Drosophila melanogaster: one gene and its partners. The protein of the gene in region 4 interacts with the protein of the main gene of each other region in a pairwise test. Each region holds a gene or a part of one and is shown on either strand. Other genes may lie near its edges.

Region 1 (4,010 bases), on a different chromosome or scaffold from region 4:
AAATAAAACAAATTTTTAAATGTTTTTTTTCAAGTGTTAGTGGTATGCAGTTTTTACTTGTTATTACATATATTTTTGGCAAAAATCGGTTACTCAGAGCTTTGATAAGACTATCTTTTGGTTTGACTGTTCATTAGATAAAGACCCAAACAAATACATTAAATGTAGGTAAACATTTCGTACCGTTCCAAAATGTTCTCTTTAGATTTGGATTTTAGACCGAATGTTCATATATGTATTTGATTTCCTGTTCAAATGTAATTAGAGGGTATCTCTCACCCGTAGCCTTATGATAAGGAAAAGCAATATGTCAGAGGCAAGTTTTTCTGTAGTCAATCAATTTTTGTTGTATAATGATAGCATATGCTTAAAAACCGTGCCTTCTTTTCTTTTTTTAAACACATGTTTTTGGGGAACTGCTGCTATTCATGTCTTCTAGATCAAGAATATTTATATTTAGAAGATAATTCTTTAAAATATACATAACTATATATAATATCCCATGCTTTTGTAGAAATATTGTGTGCGCGTGATTCTCGTTACTTTCTATGGTCAATTTAAACTAGATTAATTTTCCCAGCTCTATTTTCTGGCTATTTCCAGGTGGAGCACATGTGTAACTTCTACGTGTAGGTTTTGGCTCAAAGCTGTTGTTGTTTATTGGCCCATTTACATTTGAAGTTAACCTTAGTTGGCAAATTACGGAAATCGCTCGAGGGCGTAGTGTTTACCCATATGAAAGATACTCTGGGTAAGAATGCTCGGAAGATACTGACTATATTCGAGCGGATACTTGTTTGTTTGGTCAGACGATGGCTTTTTCTCTCTTTGTACGACTTGAGTCAATTTATGTTGACATCTTCTTGGCCATTGTTTTAAAGCTTCGAGTCAAGTTGAACACATCCGCTGGCGGTTGGGAAAAGAAAAGGAATGAAACCACTGCCAAATAAGATAGTCTGAATTCATTATTAATAAATTAAACTTTTATTTTATTTAACTAAACAAACGTTGCTTTGTTAATAACAAAAAGAGTCCAATTCTAGTCTTAGAAATATGTGCATTACTTTTGTCTTAATTTTAGCTCCAACAGAAAGTAACTAAGAACAAAACACGGAGTTACGATGCTATAGACTGTGATTAGTTCTTGATGCTTAGATACGAAGGACCCACTTGGCGGACGTACACACTCCGCTCGTTGGTCAAATACGGCGGACACTTGACGGTAAGTATGCCATCGGACGACAGTTCCGATCGCACATCGTTGGGATAGTATCCTCGGGGCAGGACGAACCGCTTGACGATGTGGCGACCCACGAAGGTGTCACCATCACGTCGCTTCTCGTGCTTGGCCTCCACGACCACAGTGTCGCCTGAGGTCTTCACGCTAATCTCATAGGGCTTGAACAGGTGCACATCCACATTGGCCTCGAAACCATCCTTTCCGACAATTACCCGACTTAGATCGGGTGCGGATCCAACGCGAGATAGTGATCGCTTCCAGTAGGGCAAGTCCCAGTCGTTCAAATCCCAATCGCGCCACAGCCGACGACGGTAATCCCAGTAATCCCAATCCGTATTGTTTGTAGCCGGGACAAGAGCCATTTTGTGGTAGTTATTATTCCTTAGGACAGGACCAACAGCAACGCTAGTTTGTATTTACTTTCCACTTATCGCGCTTTCTGATAGACGTCCACTCGCGTTTTCTGCTCTGAGCAAATTAAACTTGGAAACGATAGTAGTCGACGCTTATATAGCCATAAGCTTCGCCCCGTGGGATCAGCTCGGCTCAACACAGATTCTAGTCAATAGCCAATGACAGTTGTGACGTAGTAGGCACACTGTTCAAAAAAAAAAGCGGCATCCCAGTTAGGAATTCAAAAAATACGGCAAGCTGCTGCATCTTAAATATAGTTTTTACATCTGAAACGTTGTGTGATTATGAAATTTAAGTTATAAAATTTTTAATAAATGCTCTAAATATAATTCATCGATTTTTTTACCGCAGTGCACCAGTTGCAGTTACAGTGGCGTTAAAACTGGGCGATGTTTTCGATTGTTTATCTTTGCATTGACGCTTGTATATAAGGAAATGGGGCTGTGGGTCGAAAAAATGCCTTTGCATGTTATTTCCTTGAGGCGCTTCGAGATCATATGCTGGGTGGGTTGATTTGCAGACTAGTTTCCGTAGAGGCTATAAATTTTCAGCGGTTCTCCAAAGGTACTGCTAACCTGCTAATTATTCAGTAGATTTGAAATAAAAATCTTTATATGCTGAAAATTTTTCGTTTTTTATCCAACAAATACATATTTTGCTTTCCAATGATGCAGATGTTTGCGTGTCCTTATTTGTTTATGTTTTTCTCTTTCATTTACCAAATCATTCTCCCATATCGGCAACGCATTAAAAACGGTGGAAACATTCCAAAAAATGTTGGCAGAATTCGTATTTTGAAATTAATTACTCTTTGCTTCCGTTTGCAAATTAAAAAACAAAATCAAAGCAAGCCCAAATAAAAACCAACACATTTCTTTGACGGATGTGATTCTTTTCACTTTTTGACCAAATTCGGCTTTAAATTTTGTACACGATAGAAATTAACAGAGATACGCGGATTACAGATACACAATCTATAGATACAGCAACATAAAAGGGGGATTGAGTTTGTCATGACAAAAGGGCAATTTGTAAAAAAAATTTTGACGATTTTTTTGACGATTAGTCGATGGATGCGACATCTACGGAACATTTATGGGCCTGACCTGCCTGCCCCTCTTTATAAAGCCCGTGCCCGTAACGTAACACAATCATCGGATTGGGATTGGCCCACCCCATATGTCGCTGTAATTTGTTGTTCCAGCCGTCGGTGTTGTTATTGCTATTCTGGCATTAGATTTTGTGTGTGTTTTATAATAATTATAACAAGCTTCGCAGTTTCGCAATTTAGATGGCATTTAAGCATGTATTTGTACATTAAGTCATTTGCCATCGGACTAGTTCAATAGGTTTGTAATGCAGCACATCGTAAGACAGTCGAAGGCACACAAATAGATACGTTGTGTCAAGTTCGAAATAATATTATTATTAATATTATAATAAGTAAGTAAAAAGTATTTATTATCGTTGTTCTTATAAATTATATTACCCAATTTCTTATTTGTTATAAATATAGTCACATATGCTAAATAAGTATTTAACATCTTTAAAATCCGTACGAACAAAATTTAATAGTTAAATTTTAATATTTAAATATTTATATATTTATACTTATTTTTTGTATTATCAGTGTCTAGAGTGTCAAGTCTAGAGAAAATTCCCGATTGAAAACCAATTGAAGTGCCGCAGCTGGCGGAACAACAATACATTAGACCAAAACAAAGCAATTTACTAATTTGCTTGACTTTATGGCAAAATCGAATGAAAATCAGAATCGAATCCCTGTGGGTGTGGGTTGTGCACAACTTTCTTTGGCATCGATTGTGTGTGGGGCATTATCTAAGAGATGACTTTCTATAATCGTAAACATCATTAGCAAAACACACCCACCGCGACCTTCACCATTCTTAATTCCCACAGGGAGGTCATTCCCCCGATTTTCATGATTATGGTTATATATGTTTAAATCGTTTTCAGCAATAGCACGGGAATGAACTTAGTCATTTAACATGGTGCCAATGGACGTGGATAGGAAACAGATGACTGCATATACACAAAAGAGAGATGAATTCTTAAATATTTTAAATATTACTTATTACTTATTCAGCCTACAAGTATGCTACAAAAGTTTAAGACGGTCATGGCGAACGTGGCGTATGAGTAATAGCTGTAGTTTAAAATGGCAAGCAAATTAAGTCTCGGAAATCAATAAGGTACATCGCTCACGTGGCAAATGAAGTCGCCGCGCGATGAAGTCGAGCGTAACTATAAATGGCCCCCGAGACACTAAACATTCAGCCGCAAAAGGGCAACAAACAGGTGCAGGAGCAGGTGCATTCGACCTGGCCAACAGGCC
Region 2 (5,525 bases), on a different chromosome or scaffold from region 4:
GTTATATATGCTCTATTTTCCTATACTGCTCTGTTCCCTTTTTCTTCTAAGTTACTTTGATGGGCTTTCTTTTCGAAAATACCTTTGAACGATTTGGATTGCGATGGATCGGCACGCCTCTTAACAGCTAAATCTATTTCTTAAGTGTTTGTATGTTTAAGTTGGATTAGATCGTACCCATGTATTTGAAAGTGCCACACATGGTGCGCGTGTTTGCCCCCAGTTTGAGCCACTTGCTAAGGCCGAAGTCGGTTAGCTTTATGTGAAACTGTTCAGTTAGCAGGATGTTCTCCGGCTTCGCATCACGATATATAATCCCAGCGTTGTGGAGAAAATCTAAAAAGAGCGTACGTGAGATATTGGTTTGCTGGCCTAAGACCTCTTTTACTCACCCAAGGCAAGTGCTATCTCGCCAATGTATAAACGAACCAGATCAATGGAGAAGTGAGTTATTTTTGAGAACAACTCGCCGTTGGGTACGTACTCCGATACTGCAGTGGATTAGAGTATTTAGTATACACATAAAATCGTTAGTATAGTTTTATCTCAACGCACGAATATGGAGGTTGTGGCGGTTTTGCCACAGATCTATTTGCTTCACGATAAACGGATGATGGCCGCAAACCTTCTGAATGTCCGCCTCGTCCTTTATCTGCCGTACACTGTTGTCTTCGATGAGCTGTATAAAAAAAGTAGGGGAGTTATTTTATCTCTGCCAGTATCCGAACCGAATGCTTAACAACCTTTGATTTCTTTAGCACTTTCAGGGCGTAGCACTGACTAATGTCACTCTTGCTGGACACCTTGAAGACCACGCCAAAGGCTCCCTTGGCCACCAAATGATCGATACGGTACAGATCGTTCTTGCTGGTCTCCTTAAAGTGCGAGTTGAAGATTGAGTTGGTCAGAGGTCGGTGCCACTGAGTCTTGCCACGACGAGAGCCATGAAGTGAGGTCAAGCTGCAAGCAAGAGTTGGCATATTATTTACGGAAACTTAAGGGGCGATCAATGCGATTCTACCTCTTTCGCGTGGCCTTGTTTCGATGACGAAATGAGTTGCGGGCACCGGAGAAGCTCCAGTTGAGTCGTCCTCCGCTAAGGCTGCCAAGACTCCAGGTGGAAAGCTGTTGCTGAAACAAGACAGACCATTAGGTTTTGGTGTTCAGTACACAATTCTCGCCCTTCACTGCTATCTATCCCATGTATATGTACATATGTAAGTTAATTTTATATTGAACACGCGGCGGACTGCCTGTATACTGAATGACCAGTGCTGAAGCCAACAAAACGGCCTGAAACGGGCTCAGCGGATTTATTACGGCTTACCTGCGTTGTTTTCAACGCTTATCCCAGCCCTTTCCACCGGAAAAATAAGCTAATGAATTCCCAGAACACTTTCTAGCAATCTATGAATTTCTACGGAGGCGTAGGAGACGGTTTTGCGATGTTCCCTTGGCGACGACACGTGCGTTATGGGCCTCTGAATATTTGCAAACAAACAACGCCACCGATGATCGAACAGCTGGGAACGGAACGCAGAAGAGAGCGAGAGAGCAAATCGACTATACAGTGGTGTCCACCGAGAGTGATCATATGTTTTCAATGTTCTCAATCACTATGACACATTCTTGGTAAAAAGTTAGTTTTTTTTCATTAAATTGCTGATTTTTAGTTTAAATAATAAGGCCATTTTTAGGCAAACCCGAGTAAAACAGTGAATTTAAATTGGTTTCGCTATTAGGTAACTTTCAAACCAAAAGTGTTGATTTAAACCATATTTTGAAAAATAATGGAGCTATGAGCTTTTTGTGTGCAAAAATTTTTTTATCTATTAATATAGATTGCTGACGTGAAAAATCTTTAATAAACTACTGCTGAGAACTAAATACGTTTTCGGCATGCGAAGTCTTATCTCATTTTCTAAACGCTTTTCCACAAGTCGTTCCCATATGCTAGCCCGCGTCTGTGGCCAGAGTTTCTTTGCTTGAGGGTCACCATTCCATTCCGTATGGCTACACACACGCGTATGGAGCATAATGTACAGATCTGTGGATCTGGATCTACGCGTGGGCTGTGCGATCCCCAGATTCATAAAGTGAAAACAGAGGGGGGAGCACGTGGACGGGTGGATTTGATAAGGGGGAGCCAGAATTTGCGCAGCGGGAGGCTCAATTGGCATGGCCATGAAAGTCGTATGCGAATGCGGAAATACTTGGGGCATTTGAAAAGTGCGGAAAAGAGCGCCCACACACGTGCTGCCTGTGGGGCGGCGCGAGGAAGAGTGGGTTTCGTGGGGGGTCAGGGGTCAAAAGCCGCAACGTAATTGAAAGGGGGAAAACGCGAACCCAGCACCCATTAATGTCATTAATGACGCAGTATTTATTCGCGCTGACGAGGGAAAACATGGCCAACAAAGTGTACATACATATGTGCATAAGTACGAATGTATGTTTATACGCGCATATATGGGTTGCCTTATCAGCCTGTCCTACACATATACTACAACGTCCACCCACCACCCACTTGCGACTTTTCTTACTCATTACCTGCTGTGATTGTACAGGCTGTTCCTCGTCGCCCGGAGGATGCGACTGTGTTGGCTGGTTGGTGTGGGCCTGGAACTGGATTCTCCTGCTGCTCGGTTGCTCCTGTTGCGGCTGTTGTTGCTGCTGCTGCTGCTCCTGATACAGCTCCTCCTGGTGGTAGTGGTGATCGCTGGCTGAGGCGCCTAGTTCCGCTGCGCCTTGTGGCCACTGGGATGTCCTTCTGCTTCTGCTTGCATTACGCGGTTGCGAGTTGCCCATCAAAAGCTCCACTCGTCCCAATCAATTCCCGTTGTTTCTGTTTCGGTTTCTGTTTCCTTGTCGTCCGCTTGTTGTTTACACACACACACCGCACACCACCACACTCCACTCGTTCCACTGGAATTGCGCAATCACTGTTCGTGTGCGTGCGCGTGAGGGGCAGCCAAAAAATCGCAGTAAAAAGCGCGCACTCGCAGTTGGGGTAGCTGAAATTCTAATATAAATATTTGGTAGCTAAGGCTGGCTCTATTTTGCTGTTTTTCAGTGTGTTGTTGTTGTTGTTGTTGTGCAGGTAGCAGTGTGACCAGACCAGACGTCGGCTAGCACCTAAGCGCGATTGTTCTCGGCTGTGCGAAGGGGCACACTGTGAATTAGTGGCGCGTAATGTCAGTGGATAAAACGTATTATGTATTCTAAGCTACCATTGTCAGTTCTGAGAATTTTCAATCTTCTACAAACTAATGTTAAGACATGCAAAAACTGTTTTTGTGAATGAACAAATAGTTAATAGTATTATTTGTATATTTGTATTAGTGTTAGTATATTGCTGTTTCTATTTTACATTTTATTTCCAGCATCACGAAAATGTTAATAAGCGATAGTTGCTATCGATAATGCCGGGCGATAGTTGGCGACCCCAAGTGTCACCAGTGAAACGCCAGTCCTATTTTTTTTACGAACGTAGCTCGAATAGTCAGGATAATTTGAATCTGGTTGTTTTTACTTCAAACATAGCTTAGGAAAGGGTGTGAAAAGCGTATACTGCGAGCCATGGACATCGATTTGAGTCTGGACGAGATTATAGAGCGGAAGCGCGGGCAACGCGGCTATCGTCCCCTCGACAGAAAGTTGTAAGTACATTTACAGGACAGCCGAAAAAATATAATGTCACTCAATGCGTTTTCCATTGCAGCAATGCGAACTTCTCCAAGCCGCGCCAGCTGCTGAACAAGCCTTTTTTCAAGCCATCGGGTGCACGAGGATCTCACTCTGATATGCCGGCAAAGCGCACCTTCGATGCCAGAAACACGATTGCCGCGAAGACACGGGCCAAGATAGCCGATGCTCGGGATCTGATCAACAAGAGCGTGCGCGACTCGGGCATCGATGCCCGCCAACTGTTGCTGGAGCGAAAGAAGGCCCGTTCGGCGGGCCCAATACTTATTGATGACGAAGAAGAGTCGTTTGAGCCATCACATCGCGCACGCGGAAAGGGAGTGCACATCGGTCAGTTTGGTCACCGCCTTAGCATGTCAAACCATGCGGACGGCACCATTCAGGCGAAATGGGACTCGGACGACGGGGTCGTTGAACTGGGTAACCACATGTTGTCCGGCTTGCGTCGAACCTTTGACCCCAGATCCCATAAGCCGGGCAAACCCTTTGCTCCACGACGCTATATTGATCTTGATAATATGCAGGACCTCGAGGATGGTTAGTTAGTGCCTTTCTCTGCCAAGCCGTTCCTAAAAAGCACTCTTCTACTTTCAGAGGAAATATCTCGCACACTGCACTTAGGGCAAATGAAGCAAGCGTCGCCACGCTACTCAATTGGTGGGCTCGACCTGAACCGCGGCGACGACGTGGAGATGTCCATGGCCCCACTAAATAACAAAATAGATAACAATGCATTCTCCATTTACGAGGCGGCCCGCAATCGCATTGAGCGTCCTTCGCTGACCAACCGACTCGTAGTTGGACGCTCAAATAGCACCAAGGAGCCTCTCGAGCGCCGCCACCGCGACACAGTAAGCACAAGTAAACTCCCAGAATCGCTGCGGTCTCGTCTGTTTGTCGGTAAGAGAGATCCTCACATTTCTCATGGCATCTACGCCAACGAGAACCGGAGAAAGGCTGTTGGTGGCGGTGGTGGTAGTGATAGCGATAGCGGTACTGATAGTGATGGTGATGCAGCTGCTCCATCGAAGAACAAGCGCCGTTCGCCATCCCCATTGTCGCTGCGTACGTCGAACACAAAGGATGGATACCGCCTGCTGGTGAGCAATCTGCATACTAACGTGACTACTGCGGATATTCGCGAGCTTTTTAGCGACATCGGCCCAGTGTACGACGCTCGTGTGGTGCGTCCCGGCACCGCCGAAGTTATTTACAAGTCACTGGAACATGCCGAGAAGGCCGTAGATACCTATCACCATCGTCAGTTCGATGACCAGCCCATGCACTGTGTGCTGGTCAATCCGCACTCCTCCCGTCGCTCGGTGCACAAGGCCAGGTGAGTGATATGCTTTAAAGATATCACGCAGTATTGTTCAACGTTCTCGGCCGTAGCTCTCGCACCGTGACCACAAACTCGTCTGGCGTGGAGGTGGACATCGATGCACTTCACTCGGTACTCTTCAGGGCCCGCTAGGAAGTGCGAGGCAGAGCCCGGGAACTACAGCAACTAGATAATTTTTTCTATTTAGTTCAACAACGTAATCCATTTTCATTTCGCGCTTATAAAATTCGAGTCGATCCATCCAGCGTATGTTTAGCAAACTAGACTAGTTTAAGTGAATTCTGCCATGTCTGTCCACTTTAGAATTTTGTGTTTAGTGAGTAAAATTTTTGTCTTATTATCATAGAAATTCAGCAGTCCCACTATAGACACAACAAAATGTATGGTATAGAAACTGATTTTACAATTGCTTGTATAATATTTCATAAAATGTACAGTTTTTAAATTTCATAAAATTAATTCATAATAATTAAAGAGAAAG
Region 3 (8,554 bases), on a different chromosome or scaffold from region 4:
GTGTATGGCAATTTCGTGATCGAAGCGACCGATGCGACGTAGTCCAGGGTCGAGGACATCGGGACGCGTGGTGGCCGCTATGACGACTACTGATTGGCCAAACTCGTTGGCCTTCAGGTTGTCCAGACTGCTTATCAGCTGCGAGACAATGCGACGTTCCATATCCTTGGACGCCCACTGACGATTTCCTCCGATGGCGTCGATTTCATCGATGAAAAGCACACAAGGCGAGTAGCCAATGGCCTGGTCAAAGACCTCGCGAATCCGTTCTTCCGACTCACCAGAGATGCCACCAATTAGCTCTGTGGCCGGAATTTCCATTAGAGGCATTTTTAGTTGCTGTGTCGTAAAGCAGAGATGATTAATATATGAATTAACGATTCAATGTTCATTTATAAAACTCACCCCGCTAATGGCACGAGCAAGAAAGGTTTTGCCACAGCCTGGCGGCCCATGAAGCAATAAACCTCTCGAAGGCAATAGACCCAATTGAAAGTAGAACTCCGGCGACTTAATATGGATCAGCATTTCACACAACTCCTTAAGAGTGCTATCCATGCCACCAATGTCCCGGAAACTTTCCGTTGGGTGCTGCACCTCCAGATCCCTTTTGAACTTCCGAAGGCGATCGCGACTTTGGTTTTGGTGCAACTGCTGATATAAGCCAGGCACATTACGGTGATCTTTGGAACGCGGAACGGCGTCCTCTGAAAGATTTTTCGCTCTGTTGCCCACAACTTGGTGCACTAAAACAAAAAGTTTAGGTTTCATTGATTTTACAAAAGTATTTAAAAAAAAACTCACGCTTTTGAATGGCCTCCGAACTGCTAACGTGAATAGTATTCGGTTTAGCTACTAATGAAGAATGTCATTTAACCAAGTCATAGACTAATGGATTGATAACCCACCTTTCTTTGCAGCCACTGCGATCTCCGGCACTTCCTCCATCAGGCGTTTCAAAGCACTGCCCTGCACTGCTGGAGTAGGAGGAGGAGGAGCAGCAGCAGCAGCTACCCCATCTCCGTTGGTGGTTTTTGTATTGGAGTCATCTTCGTTCTCGTCTCCACTGGATATATCGATGGGCTCGCTGATTGGCTTGGGCGCCAGCGGCTTTCTTGGTTGACTATACAGGCTGTTCATCATATTGTTCATCACACTATTCGTGGGTGGTGGCTCGGAGTCCTCGCTAACACAATCTTCCTCGGAACTGCTTACCTTGTCCAAGTTATAGCTTTCCGAAATGATCGAGAATGCTGTAATAGAAATATTTGTTAAAAACAAATAACCACAATGTTCCATGTTTACCTTGGTGCACCAGCTGTCTGAATGGTCCGAATTTGCGTCGTGAATATTCCGGATACTTTTGCATCAACTCCCTGGTCATCTGTTTCACATCCAGGTAGGTTTCCCCGATGTGCTCCTCCAGATACTGAAATCGAAAGTAGAACGCAATTAGCACACGATGCGGGTAGCCTGCGACCTAACCTTGTTTTCCCTTGCCCAAAATCGCCGCCCTGCAAAGGGTTTTTGTGTGTTTTTTTTTTTTTTTTTGTGCTGCTTTCATGGGAATTTACCGGCTATCGGGCAGCTGGCTAGTTTGTGGATATAAACAACGGATTTGGACACACCTTCTTTACTCGGATCGTTATTAGATGGTCGTGCAGCAGCGGCTTGGCTTTCTTCATATTATTCGAGGATTACTTCTGTCTAGACATTCGCACGAGGACAATTAAATCACTTTGCCGCTCGCAAAATGCTAACGAAGCGAAGCTGTGGCTTCGATATCTTCGCTTTGGAGGCCGTTTCCACTCTTCCACATTTTCACCATGGTTTCGTATATATCGAACGAGATTTATATCAGTCAAGCGTTAATATTTAAATAATTTCTACTCGCCAGACACCTCAAATTGTTTTATTTAAAATAATATTAAGCTAACGATAAGAGTTTTAAACCTTTTGACTTTTACGAGAGCGAAATTCTCGAAAATTTTTCGGTGTGAACACGCAGTTAAGACCGAAGTAACTGTTCATCGATAGCGTTGGCGTTGTCCAAAAACTATCGATGGCCGAAGTCAGCTGTTCGGCCTTGTTATCTCGCTCCCGCCCCCAGCATAGTTGCTGACTCCGCTCTGCTCTCTCGCTTGCTCTCTGAACGGAACAACTGAGTAGTCTGAATTTAACAAGTAACCAAACCAAAAATTAAATGTGCTTTTACATCAACAAACGCTGGACGCGCAATAAGTGAGGTGTTAATTATGCGCCGCAGCAGCAACAGCAGCCAGCAGTGAAAAAATGTTGCACTCCATCTGAGTTCGGCCGCACAATTGTTTTGGATTTTGGATAAATCGCAAAATTGGAACGAATAAGAAACAGCCAGAAGAACATCGAACGGAAAAAAAAGAAAGCGCGATGTGCGACGGTGAAATTGGCGATCCGGTGACTCAGCCACGTTCCGAGGGCGGTGGATTGGTCACAATGGATCAGGAGACCCGGACGCACTACCTCGACGCGGCGACAGATAAGCACCTGACCAATGGATCGCCAGATCCAGAGCCCGTGGATCCGCTACTCGTGGCCCAGTGGTCCATCGAGAATGTGACCAGTTGGGCCACCTGCATGGAGCACTTTTCGAGAACACTGCTCGACTGCCTGCGCCAGGAGGCCATCGACGGCGAGGTGCTGCTCTCCCTCACCGAGGAGGATGTACGTGATATGCGCTACAAACTGGGCTACAAACTCACCTTCGGCGAGCTCAAGAAATTCTGGATAGCCGTGCTCAAGCTGCAGCTACTGGTGAAGAACAGCTCTGCGGAATCCGTAATACTGGGCATCGAGTGCCATGGGAACGGGAACTCGGTATACATGCCACTAGCCAGCACCGGCTGCGGTCCACCGTCCTCATCCACGTGCCCCTGTCCGCAGGCCGAATGCCCCAGCTATGTGTCCGATTGCGATACCTATTTGCGCATGGGCGGACGCTATGTTCCGCCGGAATACTTCAAGACCGCCATGAGCTTAGGTGAGTGGTCCACAACCTGCCCCCCTTCAATTACGAAGGTCAATTGTCCATTGATTGCTTCGGCGGGCTTATCGGTCGTGTGCCAATTCTCGAGAGCTTTTCGCTTTTCTCTATATAGCGCAGTTCAGGCATATACTTTCCTTGCGATAGCCGAGAAGTAAGAGGTTTCCCCATGGGTATGACTATTATGTAGTATATATATAGTAAAATTGTTGTTTTATTTATGAGTCGAACTAATGTCCCGTCAGTTGACTAAGGACAACGCCAAGAAATAAAAAATAGTTTTTAGGAGAAATAGTTTCACGACTTTATTCTTTGGATCTCAGCTTAAGACTAAAAATCAAATGCAAATTGGATTGAGGAGAAGCCTCAGTATTTGAACAATATTTGTATTTCGGGAGAGCCTCGCTCTTGGGTTCTTAAGATTAGGTAGCGTTGAAAGAGGGCAGTCAAATCTGCTTAGGTCAGGCTTTAGGATGTTTACAAGAACGGCTGCGCTGCCAAAGATAAACGAATGCTGCGCAGCTGGGATACGTTATGGAAAATTACTAGAGTGCATTACTGATTTCTTTGAAATAATGGAAGTGGCTGGTTTGGACCACCCAAATACGTCACTCCCCTTCCCTTAAAGAGAAGCCTATACTTGGGCTGGGATTGATGGATATAGTGTGGGAAATGGAGTTTCTTCTATTTCTGTTTGTTGTGGTGTGTTTTGATTTTGATTTTTTCTTATTTTAAGTTTTGCATACAGCATCATAAATGGTTTAAATGATACATATCTTAAATATGAGTACAACAAAATTAGTGCGATTATTACAATGATCATTTGTATGTAAAGTGTAATATTGTTCTCTGAAATCATCTCAACAATGTCGTTGTGTTTTACAATTTTTATTTTTGTTATATTAAGTGGTGTGTATAGTGGTGTCAAATCTATTTCTGGTTCTAACAGATTTTCACTTAAAATTATATTATTGATTTCTATTTTGCATTGCGTTACTCTTATCATTTTGTTTCCTTCTATTTTTATTTTATTAATTGAATTTTGGCAATTTTGGTTAAGAATTGTTTGGGTTAAGTTCCAGGTTACAATTGTGTTTGGTTCTATGTATTTTATTATTTCGTTCGTGTGTACTGGCTTAAAATTACAAATTGGATTTAAGTGTTTAATAATATTGGTGACACATTCATTTTTTACTTCTTTATTTTCGGTATTATAAACTTTATTTTCTTTTTCAAAATATGATTGTGTGTCTGTGTAATCTAGCTGATAGCCGTTGGAGTCTGGGTAAGGAATTATTTTAATTGTGCTTATTAGTGAAAGGTAAATGGGTATGTGGGATATGATTAATACTTGGTTATCATTGTAGTTAATCCAAGTGGATGTTTTAATGTTCAAAATGTTTTGGCTGTTCACATTTTCAAGTTTGTCGTAGTTTAGTAATTTGGGGTTAAACAGTCCAAGTCTGGAAAGCTGCATAGCCATTTCCAAATCTTCTATGTATTCCGTAAACTGCATTAGTTCGAACAAAAGACTGTCAATGATGGTGTGGTTATTTTCATAATTCTGTATTTTTTTGCATTCCGTCATTTATCAATCGTATGGCGTCGTTGAGTTCATGTAATTTTACTGAGTTATGGACGTTGATTTCAAGTTTTTTCTGTATTTCGACTCGATCATTTTCATCTAGTGTTCCAAATAGGTATTTAAAACCTGAACCCACAATGTTAATAAGACCCCGTTTGTTTCTATGTTTCAGGGTTATTCCGGCTAGTTCTCTTTTTATTTTATTGTATAAAAAATTGATCTGGGGTGCATGGTAATCGGTTCGTAGTCTTTGCTCAAAATAGTCAACCACGATGTCTATTTCAGTTAAATTGATTTTTAAGGAGTGATGTTCAAAGGAGGATGGTATCTGTACTGGCTTATCAGAAAAAAGGAGATATCCGTGGTTGGTGTCAATATTATTAATTTGAATTTGTTGTCCATGAACAGCTGTGATCAGTATAAACAATAGTGTTATCGGGTACCAGGTGCCTTCCAGGTGTAGTTTCGAAATTAGTAATTGACGTCGTCTCTCCGCTTCTTCGCAGAATGCTCTTAGGCTTCCTCTGTATGGTGTCTCCCTGAAGTTCTCCAGAAGTTTGTAGTTTGGTGTTTGAATTTTAAATTCCGCGATGAGTCTTGCTTTAAGGGTAGGCCAATCTTCGATGTTCGGAAGTCCCAAAGATCGTGTAATTTGTCCGTCCAAGTTCCTTTCGATGGCTCCCAGTAGAATCCTCTGTTGTCGGACATCATTTGTTTGGTAGAGCGAAATTACGTAATCCACTCTGCTGATAAAGGTGTGAAGGGTTTCTGGATCACCCTTGAATGGCATAATGTCTTTAAGCTGCCGACGGGCTTCGGCAAGGTTTATGTCGCTCAGCGCAATAATTGGTTGTGACATTTTTATTGTAAAATTTTTAACTTTTGTGTTTTATTTTTTTGTTTTGTTTCGGATTCAATGTTATTATTATTTTTAAGCTTTCTAGTTTCACTTGTTTGTTTTTTTTTGTTTTGTAAATTTTTGTGTTGTATTATTAAAATTCTATATTGTTTTAATTTTTTATTTTTATATGTTGGTTTTAAAACTTAGTTGCCTTTGGACTTAATATTTTTGTTTCGTATTTCACTTCCACTTATTATTGGATAACCGAATTGGAATTATAATCCAAGTTGAAGAGTTTTCACGAATTTATTTTGGGAGATGTTTCGAGCACTGGACTATAAAATTTAACTTATTTTCCACTCGAAGGTTCTTTTTTTCGGATACTTTTGTATCCTACCGACTGCGCCAGTAAAATTGTTGTTTTATTTATGAGTCGAACTAATGTCCCGTCAGTTGACTAAGGACAACGCCAAGAAATAAAAAATAGTTTTTAGGAGAAATAGTTTCACGACTTTATTCTTTGGATCTCAGCTTAAGACTAAAAATCAAATGCAAATTGGATTGAGGAGAAGCCTCAGTATTTGAACAATATTTGTATTTCGGGAGAGCCTCGCTCTTGGGTTCTTAAGATTAGGTAGCGTTGAAAGAGGGCAGTCAAATCTGCTTAGGTCAGGCTTTAGGATGTTTACAAGAACGGCTGCGCTGCCAAAGATAAACGAATGCTGCGCAGCTGGGATACGTTATGGAAAATTACTAGAGTGCATTACTGATTTCTTTGAAATAATGGAAGTGGCTGGTTTGGACCACCCAAATACGTCACTATATACATATGCATATCTAGATAAGAAGCTCTGGCATATGGCAGTTAACTTTCAAAGGAAATAATATATTATATAAACCTCTGCTCCATTTTATCAGACTTTTGCTATCATTTGCCTTAATAATCCCAACAAGCTACGAAAAAATATCATACATATCACACTTTGATCTTTTTAAACATTAAACATTTAGTTCTTGTCATGTCTGCCAGCATTAATAATTCTAAAATTCTGTAACCAGAAATAAACGCTTTCCATGTGAGAAACATTGCTTTAATTAGTAAATCTAATTCTAGAGTATATCACTCAATCCAATCACTACCTCAGCGATAGGCCAATAATAATGGTTTCAATGTCACGCGTGTTATAAATGTTTAATCAGACCATACGTCATTAAATCCCATTTATAGTTTCTGTACTACTACCTATTCTACGAAAGTAAACGAATTTACCTTCGAGTTCATGGGTTCATTAGCTATGACTTCTAGAGATACGTCACACTCTAAGTTTAATAATGTTTACTGGTCACTGGCGACGCGTTACTATTATTTATTTTGAGCACTTCGGAGGTTATTTGTGTAGACGCCGCTCGCATTTATTTGTGTACTCATATGCCTCTCATTCTGGCTAACTGGTTTTGTTATTTTTGTGTAACTTTGCGTGCATTAAATTTCAAATTCCCATTTGTTTATGATACCCTTCAAACGGCTGGTTTTACTTAACGGGTAAATTTTCAAAAAATTGAACGGCAAAGGAAAACCTAAAAACAGTAGCCAATCGAGTGTTGAATTTTATGTATTATGTTATGTATTTATTTATCTATCTGACAAGTTTTAGCTGATTATTCAAAAAAGGATTGTTCTGTAAAATAATGTTTCACTTGAGTTATAATATTTAAGTGATCAAAGTTCAAACGAAACAATGGGCTTATCTAGGCTAATTTGCTATCAGTGGCTTTTTATTTCGATAATGCATTTATCATTACAGACTATGCTTGTTTTTCTATTGTCATGGCCATTTCAATAGATAAGTCTACATTTTGGCAGATAAAGCTGCTGAAAGATAATTCTTTTGGTAGTAAATATTACACTTTTATCACTTTCGGAACGGGGTCAAACACACTACCAATAATAATACGAAAATAAAATGGTTTCCTTTTCTTTGTTAAAAGGTTTCCGCATTATATACTAAATTATTATACAAACAAAGATGACTATCAGAATAAAGTACATACGTTTATTTGCTCTGATATCTCAAGTTTAGTCATCATTGTGATTCAACTTCATAAATTCGACATCTTGAGATCAATTTGAAATACAAACGTTTTTAGAAATTATATATAGAGAGTTTATAGATTATGGTTGCAAATGACCGATTCCATAACTATTTTTTTTCCGCCTGCTGAGCCAAATTAGTCACACTCTAAATCCGCATGGTAACATCATATTTTTTGTACCATCAACAGGCTACTCGTTCGTTGTCACCTGGATAACATCGTTAACAATGGTTATTGTGCACGAGCGGGTTCCGGATATGAAGCGCTATCCGCCGCTGCCGGACATCTTCCTGGACAACGTGCCGCATATTCCGTGGGCCTTTAATATGTGCGAAATAACCGGCTCACTATTGTTCACCATTTGGGTGGTCGTGCTAACCTTCCACAAGTATAGATTGGTCCTACTGAGGCGATTCTTTGCTCTGGCGGGCACGGTTTTCCTGCTGCGCTGCGTCACCATGTTGATCACGTCGCTGAGCGTACCGGGAACGCATCTGCAGTGCAGCCAGAAGGACTTTGCCATCGATGATCCCAATGTGGACATGGTGGGCGCCTTGATTATCCGCATGTCACGAGCCTATCGCATCTGGAGCGGCCTGGGCATGTCCATTCAGGGAGTGCGGACCTGCGGCGATTATATGTTTAGTGGTCACACGGTGGCCTTGACCCTGCTCAACTTCTTTATCACAGAATGTGTGTTATTTATTTATATTTCCTATGCTGCTTACTGACTTACACTCTGATCTTTCAGACACGCCGCGGAATCTGTACTTCCTGCACACGCTGACCTGGCTGCTCAACATGTTTGGCATATTCTTCATCCTGGCTGCCCACGAGCACTACTCCATCGATGTGTTTGTGGCCTTCTATATCACCTCACGTCTGTTTCTGTACTATCATACTCTAGCAAATAACAGGGTGAGCATTTAACAGCTTCGTTTTTGTTTAGAAAGGGCATTCTAATAATAATTTATTTCCACAGGCTCTCATGCAAAGCGACTCCAAGAGGACG
Region 4 (4,427 bases):
CACCCCGAATCCCCAGGGCCAGCTTCCTCGCAACTTTTGGCCGCATCGAAAGTGAATTATTATTGAATGCCAGTTGAAAAAAAAAACCAACAAGTGAGGATGGGTCCTTCTTGGAACTGGCCGCATTTAATTTATTGGGAATATTTGATGTTTGATTTTTCGGCTTGTTCCTCTCGTTTCTTATCGCTTGGCCAATGACATTTTATTTTCGACAGACACTTTCGAATTCGGGCAAAAGCACAACCGAAAATGAAGTTAATAAATGCGGGAAGTGGATTGAAGTGTTGGCGAAATATTTGCTTATCAACCGAAAAAGGGGTTTCAATTTGAATGTGCCAAAATAATGCACAGGGTGATAAGGCTTTGATTAAGATAAGCGAGCTAAATGGAAAGGGAATGGAACGAAAGTTACGAAGATACTAATCTGAAAGTATAAGTATCTCATATCATATCCCTTTGAGCTCCGTTTAAACCGAAGAGCAGCCGATTAACTACGAGTCCAATCTACGTGGAAATCAATTAGCAACTGCCGGTTTGCAGGCCATAAAAGTGAAAATCCGGAGCAGACAGCATAATGCCACCCAAGAGCTGTCAATGGAGGAAGACCACACAAGTGGACGCAGGAGTAGGGGAAAATGGAGCCTGGTCACGCACAGGGGAGATGGACGCAAAGGAAGGGGGCGTGGCGAGGAGGAGAAAGATAGAGATCCCGATTGCCAGCTCGAATATGAAATTATTCAAATGCAGCCACAACATATAAATTCAAGTTAATCCGCACAGCTGGACATCGCCTCAGTCCCCAGATCCCCGGAGGCAGACGAGCGGATCTGGTTAGTGGGGATCTATATAGAGCTATATATCCATACCCATAGCGGGTACAAGGACTCTGAGCTGCCAGCCCGCTGATGGGCGCCAGCTTTTAATCATTATTAATTATCCAAGGGCCAGGTCGGAGGAGTATAAATCACTTGTGCTGGCGCTGCACCATTTCCAGTGGGAGGAGCGGCTAATCTATTTTAGGCCAACTTGCAAAACGCTGAGAAATGTGGCTAATTACAGGGGGGGGGGGGGCAGTGGAGCAGCCACCATTCATTTATATGAACATAAATCGAAATGATACAATTAACTACTATGTACATGTAGATAGTAGGAGGATCTAGAAATTGCTGGCCGGCGATACAGAGGTCTCGTCGTCCATATCGAAGTCCATGTTGGCACCTTGTTCCTCGATTTCTTTAGCCCTATAGATGGTGCACATTTCCACGTGCTCCCACCTAAGCGCTTTCCTGGCCAACTGTTCAGCCTCGCTGAGGTTTATGAAATCATTCCAGTCTTTCGAGAGAAAGTCCACAATGTTCTCCTTATCTCTGCCCTTTGCACCATACATCACCATGCGTGACTTTCCACACTCCATGCTGAATAAGTGAAGGCCCCTGCTGTCCTGGCCAGCTATCATGACATTTGGGGATTCGGCGGTCTGGTACTTTTCGCAAAACATGTCCCGCACCTGGGACACGGTCACATTCTGGCCGCGATCCCGGACTAGATTTGCCACCTTTGAACTCACTTCCAGAACTATGTTCCGATCGATGCCGGAACGAGGTGCGCAGCAGCTGAATAATTAATAAGTTATTTTAAGGCATTGCAAATTGAATAGACTTACTAAATGCGGTCATCTATTAGATACATTTCGTATTCCTTCGAGTCGGTGGCCAGTATCACGGCGTTGGTACTCTTAAGACCCACGATGTTGCCTTGAATCGACTTGGAACTGTGGGAATCAATAGCTAGTAAGTAAAAGTATATATGATTTCAGTCACAAACTCACCTTTCACCTTCCATCATTTTCAAATAGACTCCCAAAAGCGTTCGAGCAGAAAAGTGCCAGTTAAATGAGCTGCAAAGATTCTTTAAAACTTTAAAAGGGCTTGGGAAGTAGAAAATAAACTTGAGCTGGGTACAAAGACCTTTCAAAACTAATATTTGCTCAAGTAGATTAAGGCCAACAAATCGTCAACGCCTGTGTGGCTATCCATTGTCTGAAAGTAAGTGATATTGGCAGCCCGAGGCTGTCCGTCACCTACGCTGGATGGCGATCTTCAGATGGCGATGGCGATGATGATGATGGGGTCTCGCCAACTGGTTGGCACTGGCCGAGAAACGCGTCTCTGCGCAGTTTCCGAGGCAGCTGCACCTGCTGGCCCTAAAAATAGATCCAACCAGTTGGCGAAGTCAAGACCAGAAGGCCTCGGAATGGTAGACACTTTAACGAGCCTATCAATTTAAAGACACACACTGTCCGCGCAACGATGTAATCGATGTGTTAATTAGCCTAAGCAGGAACAGGGATCAACCTACCTAGAATCGGAGTGGATTTGAGCCTATTACCAAGATTCTGGATCTGAATGTTTGACGCACAATTAAAAGCCAACTTGATTGCACGGTTCATATTCCATGTCACAAGGGATTTGCTTTCAAATTAATAAGGCCCTGACACAGGGTTCAAAATTAATACTTGTTTTAATGCCAGCTCTATTTGCTGCAAAAAGTGGCTCTTCAAGGGAGTGAAATACATCATACAAATGTGCACTATTAATTAAATAAAATAGCGTTAATGCTAATTAACACATGCTAAAGTATTTTTTACGTTGGTATATTCGGTTTGACAAAGAACGCCATCATCTATCAACTATGGGTGTTAGTTCAATTAACTTTAATCACCATTGGATGTCAGGCCTATTCCAATTACCAATGGCCAATTGGCTTTTGACAGAGGCTGTTCTCTCTCTGCTTTGGCCCGATATCGTTTTCCCATTTGACAAAATAATAATCGCGTGTGGATCACTCTTGACTTCCCCCCCATCGCAAGCCCCTTATTACATTATTATTATTATTATTGGTACTCGTCTGCATGTCTGGAATTTAATTTTTTCTGGCATTTACAAAACACTTCAACCCGTTTTGACAAGAGTCGGCGATGACAGCAATTACCATACGATTTGCATGACGTTTATGTTTATTTTCGCTTTGTATTCCCTTCCAGGCGGCAATCGTGAATATTTTGCCCAGCCTTTGTGTTCTTTTGGCCAAGTCGAAAAGAAGCCAACCTGCGAGTGCTCAGGTTGATTTCGATTTTGACAGCTGCCTGCCTGACTCACTCCACTGGGCTGCCTCGCTGTTCGCATTTTGGCTGGATTCGCATTTCATTAGCTCGTTATGGACCACCTACGGCCAGGCCGGGCCAACTGCTGACAGAGGAGCACCCTCTGATCCCCACCCATGGTTTCGTCCATTTGGCAGACCCACAGCGAAGCAATTAAGCCGCCTGGCATCGAACACAATCCCGTCCAATGGGGCAATTTAAGGTATTTACAAAAGCGTAAAAAGGTAAGGAAAACAAGACTGGCTCCTCCCAATCAAAACATGACGAATGCCACTCGAGGCCCTCTCCGAGATGTCAATCGTTCAAGTTTAAGTCGATTCGACCGAGGAACGCTCCGCTCCTTCCTCCTAACTGACCGTAAAATGAAATCTTTAAGTTCTTCAAGGGAACTCTGCAGCTTCGGATGAGAATACATACATATATGATATACTCTTGTTAGGGTTTTTTTTTTTTTTATTGATATTTCATCGTTGAATATGTTGAAGCAAATGAGCAAAAATTGTATGAGCCACATTGAGAACTAGTGAAACTTCAAGTGGGAAATTTAACAGAAGTATACTGAGAAATTTAAGAAGTCTACACACTTGAACAGCTTTCATGGGATATACATGTTTTCGAAATGCGATCTTTGTTTTAGGCAAAGGTTTTTCCGCCATTGTCGTCGGCAACGTCGTCGTCGTCGTCATCAAAGTCCTTGTCCTGAATCTTAAAGTAGGTCATGGCGAAGGTGTCCTTGGCCGTGGACACTACCCGCAACCAATCACGCAGGCTGACCTTCTTCAAATACCGTTTGGTCAGATACTTGAAGTAGCGCTTGGAGAAGTGCACACCGGAGTGGATGATCAGCGAGAAGTTCTTGGTGCGCTCGAAAGTGACCTGATCCTTCAGCTGGTTGAGCTTGTTCTTTATCTTGATGTGGGTCTTCAAATACTGCTCGAAGTCGGCGAGGTCCAGGATCATATCCTCGGCCACGCATGCGCAGTCGATCACAAAGCGTTGCCAAGCCTTCTTTTTGGCCAGCCTTTTTCCACGCAGAACATTCTTCGTGCGTTTCGGCTTGGGCTTCGGATTTGCCGGAGTGGCGAGGCTCTTTTTTACACTTTTAGCTTTGGCTGCTGGAACCTCGACATTTTCGGCTTTTGGTGCTGCGGCAGCTTGTTCCTTGGGCTTTTCTTGCACCAGGGCGGCCTTTTTGGCGGGGACAACCGTGGGTATTTCCGCATTGCCACGTTTAGGAGGCGCAGACTTTTTCTTATTGTCCACC

What was found.
Region 1: the proteins of yip3 (region 4) and CG7409 interact in a two-hybrid assay, tested with the Drosophila melanogaster proteins (one large-scale study listed by BioGRID).
Region 2: the proteins of yip3 (region 4) and S6KL interact in a two-hybrid assay, tested with the Drosophila melanogaster proteins (one large-scale study listed by BioGRID).
Region 3: the proteins of yip3 (region 4) and SMSr interact in a two-hybrid assay, tested with the Drosophila melanogaster proteins (one large-scale study listed by BioGRID).

The regions. Positions count from the first base shown.
Region 1 is NT_037436.4:7,752,122-7,756,131, reverse strand, and holds CG7409 (uncharacterized protein), read right to left. Parts: upstream 1,724-4,010; 5' UTR 1,603-1,723; coding exon 1,138-1,602; 3' UTR 964-1,137; downstream 1-963.
Region 2 is NC_004354.4:18,786,112-18,791,636, reverse strand, and holds the start of S6KL (S6 kinase like), read right to left. Parts: upstream 3,174-5,525; 5' UTR 2,806-3,173; coding exon 2,548-2,805; intron 1,476-2,547; exon of another isoform or gene 1,328-1,475; intron 1,132-1,327; coding exon 1,022-1,131; intron 961-1,021; coding exon 744-960; intron 680-743; coding exon 556-679; intron 492-555; coding exon 393-491; intron 337-392; coding exon 178-336; intron 1-177. Other genes in the region: CG6961 (uncharacterized protein), read left to right, coding at 3,577-3,656, 3,719-4,239, 4,297-5,038, 5,095-5,176.
Region 3 is NT_037436.4:7,375,086-7,383,639, reverse strand, and holds the start of SMSr (sphingomyelin synthase related), read left to right. Parts: upstream 1-2,165; 5' UTR 2,166-2,409; coding exon 2,410-3,019; intron 3,020-7,731; coding exon 7,732-8,235; intron 8,236-8,293; coding exon 8,294-8,460; intron 8,461-8,524; coding exon 8,525-8,554. Other genes in the region: smid (smallminded), read right to left, coding at 1-339, 406-746, 805-855, 909-1,253, 1,306-1,429, 1,629-1,685.
Region 4 is NT_033778.4:23,242,989-23,247,415, forward strand, and holds yip3 (yippee interacting protein 3), read right to left. Parts: upstream 2,412-4,427; 5' UTR 1,846-2,411; coding exon 1,829-1,845; intron 1,772-1,828; coding exon 1,664-1,771; intron 1,614-1,663; coding exon 1,157-1,613; 3' UTR 1,056-1,156; downstream 1-1,055. Other genes in the region: RpL22-like (ribosomal protein L22-like), read right to left, coding at 3,797-4,427.